Rattus norvegicus: one gene and its partner. The protein of the gene in region 1 interacts with the protein of each later gene in a biochemical or structural test. Links are inferred from orthologs where the notes say so. Each region holds a gene or a part of one and is shown in the gene's direction. Other genes may lie near its edges.

The links. The genes of interacting proteins can lie anywhere in the genome.
Region 2: of the proteins of Mapk3 (region 1) and Ptprj, one has a biochemical effect on the other in vitro, tested with the Homo sapiens proteins (2 studies listed by IntAct, with this or other methods). The link is inferred for Rattus norvegicus from reciprocal best matches to the Homo sapiens genes MAPK3 and PTPRJ.

What each region holds. Positions count from the first base shown.
Region 1 is NC_086019.1:190,795,766-190,800,016, forward strand, and holds the start of Mapk3 (mitogen-activated protein kinase 3), read left to right. Parts: upstream 1-1,428; 5' UTR 1,429-1,462; coding exon 1,463-1,635; intron 1,636-2,552; coding exon 2,553-2,735; intron 2,736-4,251.
Region 2 is NC_086021.1:97,014,806-97,019,013, reverse strand, and holds the start of Ptprj (receptor-type tyrosine-protein phosphatase eta isoform 2 precursor), read left to right. Parts: upstream 1-1,357; 5' UTR 1,358-1,365; coding exon of another isoform or gene 1,366-1,701; coding exon 1,702-1,797; intron 1,798-4,208. UniProt on the Homo sapiens protein: Tyrosine phosphatase which dephosphorylates or contributes to the dephosphorylation of CTNND1, FLT3, PDGFRB, MET, KDR, LYN, SRC, MAPK1, MAPK3, EGFR, TJP1, OCLN, PIK3R1 and PIK3R2. Plays a role in cell adhesion, migration, proliferation and differentiation.

The sequences.
Region 1 (4,251 bases):
AATTCCCAGCAACCACATGGTGGCTCACAACCAACTGTAATGGGATCTGATGCCCTCTTCTGGTGTGTCTGAAGACAGCTACAGTGTACTCACATACATGAAATAAATAAATCTTTAAAAAAAATTTTTAGCATTCTTATGGTAACATCTTTGCTTACCTAACCATCTTACTAGCCTCGATCCAGGGTCTTGATTTTGCTGTTTGGCACGCGCACGTGTGTGTGTGTGTGTGTGTGTGTGTGTGTGTGTGTATCTGTGTCTGTGTGTGTCTGTGTGTGTGTCTGTGTGTGTGTAAGAGAGAGAGAGAGAGAGAGAGAGAAACAGATTGTACATTTTAATTGATTTAGTTATCTTTGTTCACAGTTATCACCCTTTCCCTCCTTCTCATATGAAGTGGGCTGGGTTGCATGTCCTCCAGGCAATAACACTGGGTCTCAGAACACACCTGAGCCCACTGCAGGCCTGCCTCTTCACAGGAGCATACCTGACTTCACAGCTTTCTAGTGCTGCCTGCCATCCACCACCCTTCAGACTGCTTCCTCACTATAACACTTAGGATAAGCCCACCACCACCACAGGGGGGCCCAGCAAACGTGGGTACTTCCTACCAAGTCTGACAGCCCAAGTCGGATACCTAGGACCTGCACAGCAGAAGGAATCTGATATCCTCTGATCTCCACACAGGCTCTGTGACATACTCATGCCCCAACACACAAAATTAATAAATGTGGCAAATAAACGAATAAGAAATTATGGAATCTGGGCATTGTGATACAGTCTTTAATCCCAGCACAGGGGAGTTAGTATGCTGAGGCCAGCCTGGTCTACATAGTGGGTTCCAGGACAGCCAGTTCCATGTCAAGAGACCCTCTTAGAAAAAGGAAGAAAGAAAGAAAGGAAGGAAGGAAGGAAGGAAGGAAGGAAGGAAGGAAGGAAGAAACGAAGGAAGGAAGAGAAAAAAAGAAAAAAAAAGAGAGAGAGAAGATGGAAATGTGGCTCAGTGATAGGATTCTTGCCTAACATCCAGAATCTGCATGATGGCTCAGGCCTAAAGGTAGGAGGATGTGGCCAACCTCCACCACATAGAACCTTTGGGGCTGGCCTGGATTAATACTGTCTGCGTAAATGAAACAAAAAGTGAGAGGCAGGTCTCCAAAGTTTAGGGGTGGGTTCCCTCAGCATCACTCAGGGCCACTGGCCCCTGGGGCTGCAGTACTCTCTAGGCAGACTAAAGTACCCTAGTGGCCAAGGCAAGGAAGGAACAGCGTAACTAGGCGGGAAAGCCGGGCGCGCTCTCAGTAGACCACGTGACATCGCGGGCCCGCGCAGGCTCGCCGGGCAGGCGCGGGGGCGGGGCGCGCGGGGGCGGGGGCGGAGCCTGGCGCGCGGCCCCGCGGTGACAGGGCGGCAGGGAGGGGCGGGGCCGCGGGCGGGGCAGCGGGGGGAGGCGGGAGGAGTGGAGATGGCGGCGGCGGCGGCGGCTCCGGGGGGCGGGGGCGGGGAGCCCAGGGGAACTGCTGGGGTCGTCCCGGTGGTCCCCGGGGAGGTGGAGGTGGTGAAGGGGCAGCCATTCGACGTGGGCCCACGCTACACGCAGCTGCAGTACATCGGCGAGGGCGCGTACGGCATGGTCAGGTGAGGGGGTGTCCCAGGAGGGGGCTTCAGAGCGGGGACAGCAGGTGCGTGCCCGGGACATGGGGTCCGGGGAGTGTCGCAGGGGAGGGATCGTGCAGTGACTTCTGGGGGACCAGGAGCTACTTTCTCCGGGAAGGGGGGTTGGAGGCTTGGAAGCCACCTTGTATTGTTAAGGGAGGGGCACCTGGGGGACCCTAGAGATACAGGTGGAGCTAAGAGGATGACTATTCTTGGTGAAGGGGGAGTGAGAGACCCATAAGCAGGTAGTGGGAGCCTTGGTTCCCCCCTGATGAGGTTGTGACAGAGTTTGAGAGAGCAGAGCAAAGCTCAGGGTGGGGCAAACCTTTGCACCCCTGCCCCTGGCCTTGCCAGAGGCCCAAAGTAGGGAGGGGTCTCTAGAATGTGCCTTATTTTGTGGGATACAGGTTTGTGAGTTCTCGCTGCCCCACTCTGTGCTCTGGGCCTTTGTTCCTATGGGAACAGCTCTGACCCAGGAACCTCACCGGGAGACAGACCTACCCCTTCTTATCTCTTCCCCTGTCCCATTACTGAATCCTCTGGGTTTCATCCACTCTCTCCATTTAACTCCCATCCCCTGGACCTGTCTTGGATTGAGAGAGTCCAGCTCAGGAAAGGGGAGGAGGGTGAGGGCAACTACAATGTAAGAGGGTCCAGGAGAAAGGAAGTCAGTGAGTGGCCACTCTCTTCCTCTGTTTGTGAAGTCACTGAAAGGCTGCCTGGCTGGTCCCCAGCTTTCCCCCTGGAGATTCCAGGCCTTCACAGCAGGAAGGAGCCAGCATTGTTTACACTTGGCCAGAACCCTCTCCTGCTCTCTCCGGTCCCTGCCAAGGCCTGGGTGGGGCCACCAGGCCTGGATTCCCCCTTTGTAAGGCCACACATCTCTCTGGCTCTCTCAGCTCAGCATATGACCACGTGCGCAAGACCAGAGTGGCTATCAAGAAGATCAGCCCCTTCGAGCATCAAACCTACTGTCAGCGCACGCTGAGAGAAATCCAGATCTTGCTGCGATTCCGCCATGAGAATGTCATAGGCATCCGAGACATCCTCAGAGCACCCACCCTGGAAGCCATGAGAGATGTGTATCCTTTAGCCACAGCTCCAGAGCGAGGCTAAGGAGCTTGGCTTTGCTTTCTGTTGTCGTCTGTTGTGCCACCCTCAAAAAAAAAAAAAAAAAAAAAAACCAAAAAAAACCAAAAAACTTAAAAACCCAGCAAAGTAACTTTTTAGCTGAGAGTCTACGGAGCAGAAGAGCACCCTGGCAGGCCTTGGATCCTGGTCTGTTGCAGCCAAGTGGAGTGGCCTTGAACACATCCTTTTCTGCTCTGTGCCCCAGTATGGTGTGTGGGGAGGGGAGAATGCTGGGCAAACCATCTCTATGGGAGCTTTGTCTTCTGACATCTGCAGTTCTGTGACATGACCCAGTCTCTGCCCACAGCCCTTTCTTGCTCAACAGACTCACGATTCTTTAGAGACCTCACACTGGATTGAAAGCGAGGAAGAAAACCAGCATTGGGCATGCCTAGCGCTTTGGTTCTAATTCAACCTTTTAGCTTCCCTGTGTGATGAGCTTTACCGCGTCCATTTCTAAGATGAGGAAACTGAGGCTCTGTGTTTTGCTGGGCCTTCTGTGGGGGAGGGGCGATACTTTCTCCAACGTGGAGAGGGTGGAGGCTTTCACACCACCTTGCATTGTTAAGAGGAGGAACCTGAAGACCCTAGACTCACAGGGCGGAGCCACGCCTTTGCACTCCTGGTCTAGCCAGGGGCTCAAGGAAGGACGAGGGGCCCTGAGAGTCTGCCTATAGAAGAAAGCCTAAATTCAGCTGTTCCTGTTTGTTGCTTCCTCTTCTTCCCCAGTTGGCTTTCTTGGAGCCTTCCCACTCTTCTGAGAGCCCCACCCTGATTACCTGCGGCCTTGTACCTTGACCAGGAAAGGTAGTCCAGCCCTTGTTGCCCTTGCTTGACACTGCTTGCCTAGTTCAGACATTTAGTTCATTGTCCACATGTACTTCCTGCTTGGCGCCATTGCTAGTAGACTGTAGCACCCATGGCCTCTTCCCTACCCACCCCTCCCGATCCCAGGATTTGTTCTGCAGCCTCTGCAGCTCTGACCACAGGAAATCGACTACTCCTGTCTTGTTGCATGACCTTCAGCAGGTCTCTGCACCTCCGGACTTCCACATTTGTAAAGCGGCAGGGTTGGTCCATGTGTGTGTATCTGCATATGCTTGTTCTCTCTTCTTCTTTTTGAGAAAGGGTCTCCCTATGTAGACCAGGCTAGCCCTGAACTCATAGAGATCCTGGGTGCCACCAGCCCCAGCTCTCACATGTCTTCTGTGGAAGACAGTTCAGACTTCATTTTTTGAGAAAGTGTCACTGTGTATCCCTGGTTGGCCTCAGGCTAACTCTGTAGACCTGGCTGGCTTTAAACTTCTAGGCAAGCCTCTGGCCTCTGCTTCAAGTGCTGAGATTGTAGGAGTGACGTACTCTGCCCAGCTCCTGATTACTCTTCCAAAGATAAGCCAGATGACATTTGTTTGTGTTTAGTCTTTGTTTTATCTTCAAGTATAAAAGGACTCTCAGTTCTCCACCTTC
Region 2 (4,208 bases), on another chromosome or scaffold:
CTTCAAGAAGGGTGAGACAGGGAGGAACAGAATTCCTCGTGGGCTGTGATAATCAGCAAGTTTTTAATCAAATGCAAAATACAAAAGGACAGTGGTGACTATTTTCTCCTTTACTCCTGTCTCTGTGTAAGCTGGGACTCTGAGATCCAAGGGACGCCTGGAGGCAGGTTGGACACCTAGTGGTCTAGACTCATTTCACTATCTTGGCTACGCAAGTCTTCCCAAACAGAATGCTCAGCTTCCTATTCCTGTTTCTCAGAAGGTCAAGGTTGAAGAATCTGCCTTCTGTTTTTTTTTTTGCCAAGTTGCTCCCACTTCCTACCACACTGCTTCCCTCTCTCTGCCCGGTGAAACCCAACCACACTTCAAAGCCCAGCTCAGGTGACACCTCTTCCCCTGGTCGGAGCCCTCCCTATCTTGCCCTCCCTAGCTTGCCTTGGTTTGGTACTGTCTCTCATTACTTCTTGGTGCAGTCGATAGAGCTCTTTGGTTTCCTCTTGTGAGCCTGAGCACAGTAGCAATATTCGTGGTAATCTGCAACTCCTTTCAGATCAGGACTTGTGATGACAGCTGCCAGATGGGCTCACTCTGTGTCCCACCCTCTTTGGGACTTTATCCTGATCTCTAATCTCCAGGCAAGTCTCGGTAGACAGGTATCAGTAGTATCTTCCCGTTACACAAGAGCAAAGGGTGGTCCAGAGAGGCGAAGCATCTCTCTCCAAGTCACACAACCAGGATCACACAGTTAGTATATAGCACAGCTGGGCTTGCCATATGCCACAGCTGGGGCTCTAATCACTAGACCAGCTTCTGTGCCGGCTCTCTGACTTCCTGGCCCAGCGTCTGGGGAGAGAACAGAATACATGGTGTGCTTCCCATAGTTTCGGGGGTTCACCCGCTCCCTCCCCCAAAGCCCACCCACAGGCCAGGCTTCACCGGAGTACGGTCTAGAAGCAAGCAAGGCAGTGACCTGGGCAAGAGGTAGCCTCAAGCCGGAGCCAGGGAGGGAGTCCCAGGCTGAAGAGTCCCTACTGATCCATCTATACTAGCTCGTAGCTCTGGAACAGTGGAGCAGCGTCCCGGGTCCCGAGTCCCAGGAATGTGGGAGGGCTAGGAGGGCAGGGAGGGGGCGCTTCCTCTGGCCGCGGGAGGGGAGACGCCAGAGCGTGCACCGGGCTCGCCACCGCCCACTCCCCGCCCGCCGCCAGCTCGCTGGGGGCGGGGGCCGCGGCGAGAGGGCGGCGAGGGGCCGCGGAGCACGGCAGCGGCCGGCCCGCCCGAGCGGGAGGAAGCGATGAATATTCAGAGGGGGAGGGGAGGAGAGGGGGCCGAGCGCTCCGCGCGGCTCCCTGCAGCCGGAGCCGCATGACGCGCGGAGGAGGCAGAGGGAGCAGCCGGGGCCGCGGGAGCCCGGAGCTGGACGCCACGCGCGGGGGGTGGGCGCCGCTTGCTCCGCCCCGCGAAGCCCCTGCGTGTCTAGGGCCGCGGCCGCTCCGCGTTAGGAGCGCTAGGCTCCGCCGTGTGGCCGCCGCCGCCGCCGCTGCCATGTCCCCGGGGAAGCCCGGGGCGGGCGGAGCGGGGACTAGGCGGACCGGCTGGCGGAGAAGGAGGCGGAGGCGTCGGCTGGAGGCGGAGACCAGGGCGCCCGGCTTCGGGCACACGGCGGGGCGCGTCCCGGGCACGTTCCAGGGCGCGCAGGGCATGAAGCCCGCGGCGCGGGAGACGCGGACACCCCCGCGCTCGCCCGGGCTCCGCTGGGCGCTGCTGCCGCTGCTGCTGTTGCTACGCCAGGGCCAGGTAAGCCTTCGAGTGGGCCTGGGCGTGTGGTGGGAGGACGCGGGCCGAATTGGCATCGCCTGCACCTGCCCGAGTGTCACCCGCTCCAGGAATACCCGGCGAGGGTCTAAGAGATCGTGGTCTTGAGAGCCTTCCTCCTGGAGGGGGCTGGCAGGGATCTTGGCCAGCCTCCCGCTCCCGCCACCAAGCCCCTTCCCTGACTACCGGGTGCCATGGGAAGGGCGAGATTCCGGGGTCCCTAGGGTGTTCCCCGCCGTGTCCGTTGACTCTTCCATGGAAGCTCTTGCATGGGCTGCAGGCGGCGTTGGCCCGGCCTTTCCCGGAGCTGGTCAGGTCTGGCCAGCGCGGGCCCTGCTCGCGCGCCCGAAGCGGCCGGAGGGGGCGTGTTTGCGGAGGGCTGTGGATGGGGAGCAGGGCCTGCCTGGCTGAGCCAAGGCCGACCTACGACCTGGCCTGGAGGGGCCCGGAGAGCTTGGGCGGAAGGGCAGTGGCGGTCGCCGAGTGCTTGGGGACAGGCCCTGGCGTTGGGCAGTCGGGCGGTGGGCGAAGCGCCGGACCTCAGAATGGAGGGTGCTGTTTGTGGGGAAAGTTCCCAGTCTTGCCAAGGTGGCCGCTCAAAGGGTCCCTTGAGGCTGCTGGCCCTGTTCTCATCATCGCTCCTGAGATGGTGCTGGCTTTTCTGGGTGTGTATTGGTGCTTTGTGGGCGCTAGCTAACCCCCTCCCCTCCAGACCTTTTTTTTTTTTTTTTTTTCTTGCTTCACTTTTGTTCAATAATGGTGGGACTCGAATTTTGGATCTTTTCTCTCTGTGGTATTTCGTGGCAGGAGGTGTGATGCAAGGCAGCCTGGGGACATTCCCATTTCGCAGATAGGGAACTGAGGGAGAGAAGTGAAAGAGTGGAATCACCCAGCTGGTGTTGCGGGAGCTGAGCAAGCGAGTTCTGCCTCACAGCCTTCTGGGAACTGGCTGTGGTCTTGAACCCTGCAGGCTGCAGAAAGTGGCCTGGGGGATGGATGCTCTTGTCTTAGTTTTTGCTAATGAAAGAAAGTCTCACTTTCTTCATAGATACCAGCTCCAAGCAGACAGTGAGACACAAATGAAGCAGAGGCTGGGGATGGAATTTTTCAAGGGAAAAATTCTCATGCATGCGCACTCGTACACACATGTGTACACACACACACACACACACACACACACACACACACACACACACACTCGTCCTAGAAGAAACATAGGCACTGGGCAGCGGAGCAGGCAAGCAGAAGAAGGGAGCCTGAGTCTGGAGCCTGACCTCATTGTCAGCAAGGGTCACTCAGTTTCTAGAGCAGGATTTGCACAGGACTCAAGGAGGCCTGGAATGTGGTGTTGTCCCCAGCAAATAGTTATTTACTGGAGTAGGCTGTGGGCTAAGTTTGAAGAAGAATCAGAGTTGAATTTGCCCCCTTTCCCCACTTCCACCTCTAGCAGAAAGCATCTGCAGAATGGGGGTGAGGTGGGGGGGGGGTCACATCATTTCATAGTAGAATTGCTTGTAGGGCTTCCATTGGACGTGTGTGAAAGAATTTTGTATCAGAAAAAAATCACTTTTCATAATATGCCTTTCCAGATGGGATTAACATTAAGGAACAGTGTGGATGGGCTGTCTTCACAACAGTCTTTGATGATAAAGAAAAAGGACTGCTTCATATTTGAGCTCTCCCTTTCCCCTAAGAATTCACTATGTAGACAAGGGTGGCCTCAAGCTCATTGAGATCTGTTTGCCTTCGTTTTCCATGTTCAGGGATGGCCTTGTCTTGGAACTCTCTTTAACTAAAGTTTGTATTATAGAAACATTTGAGCTACATTTCTCTTTAGTTTAATTTGATATATATATATATATTACCTACTTTTGTTTCAACTATAGACGTTGCAAGCTGTGCTTTGAATCAGCAAAAAGTATCTTGGGTAAATTTATTTCTTGCCCAACCCTTCCTTGTGTTTCTTTAGCACATTGCTACTCGACTCTTGCCTTGTATGTGCTCTAATTTCCTTCCTCTAGTTTGTTCTGTAGAAACTCAAGAGTACTGTCTTCATATTCTTCTTTTTGTGTTTATTACAAAATAGGAAATGTAAAAGGTTTTGTGAAGAAATACCTCCAAAACTCATATTCAGCAGTTTCGTTTTGATATGGACTATTACAGGGAATTGGCGCCCCCCCCCCCTCTCTCTTGTGCGGCGCTGGGCATGGAACCCAGGGTGGGGGATATGTTCTACCGCTGAGTTATATTCTCAGTCCCAAAAAAGCACTGCGCTTTTGAATTGACTCAGAGATAGTTTCAGGGGCTGGCAGGATGGCTCATTGAGTAAGAGTGTTTGCTGCACAGGCATGAGGACTTGAGTTCAAATTCCTAGGGCCAATGTAAAATGGGGA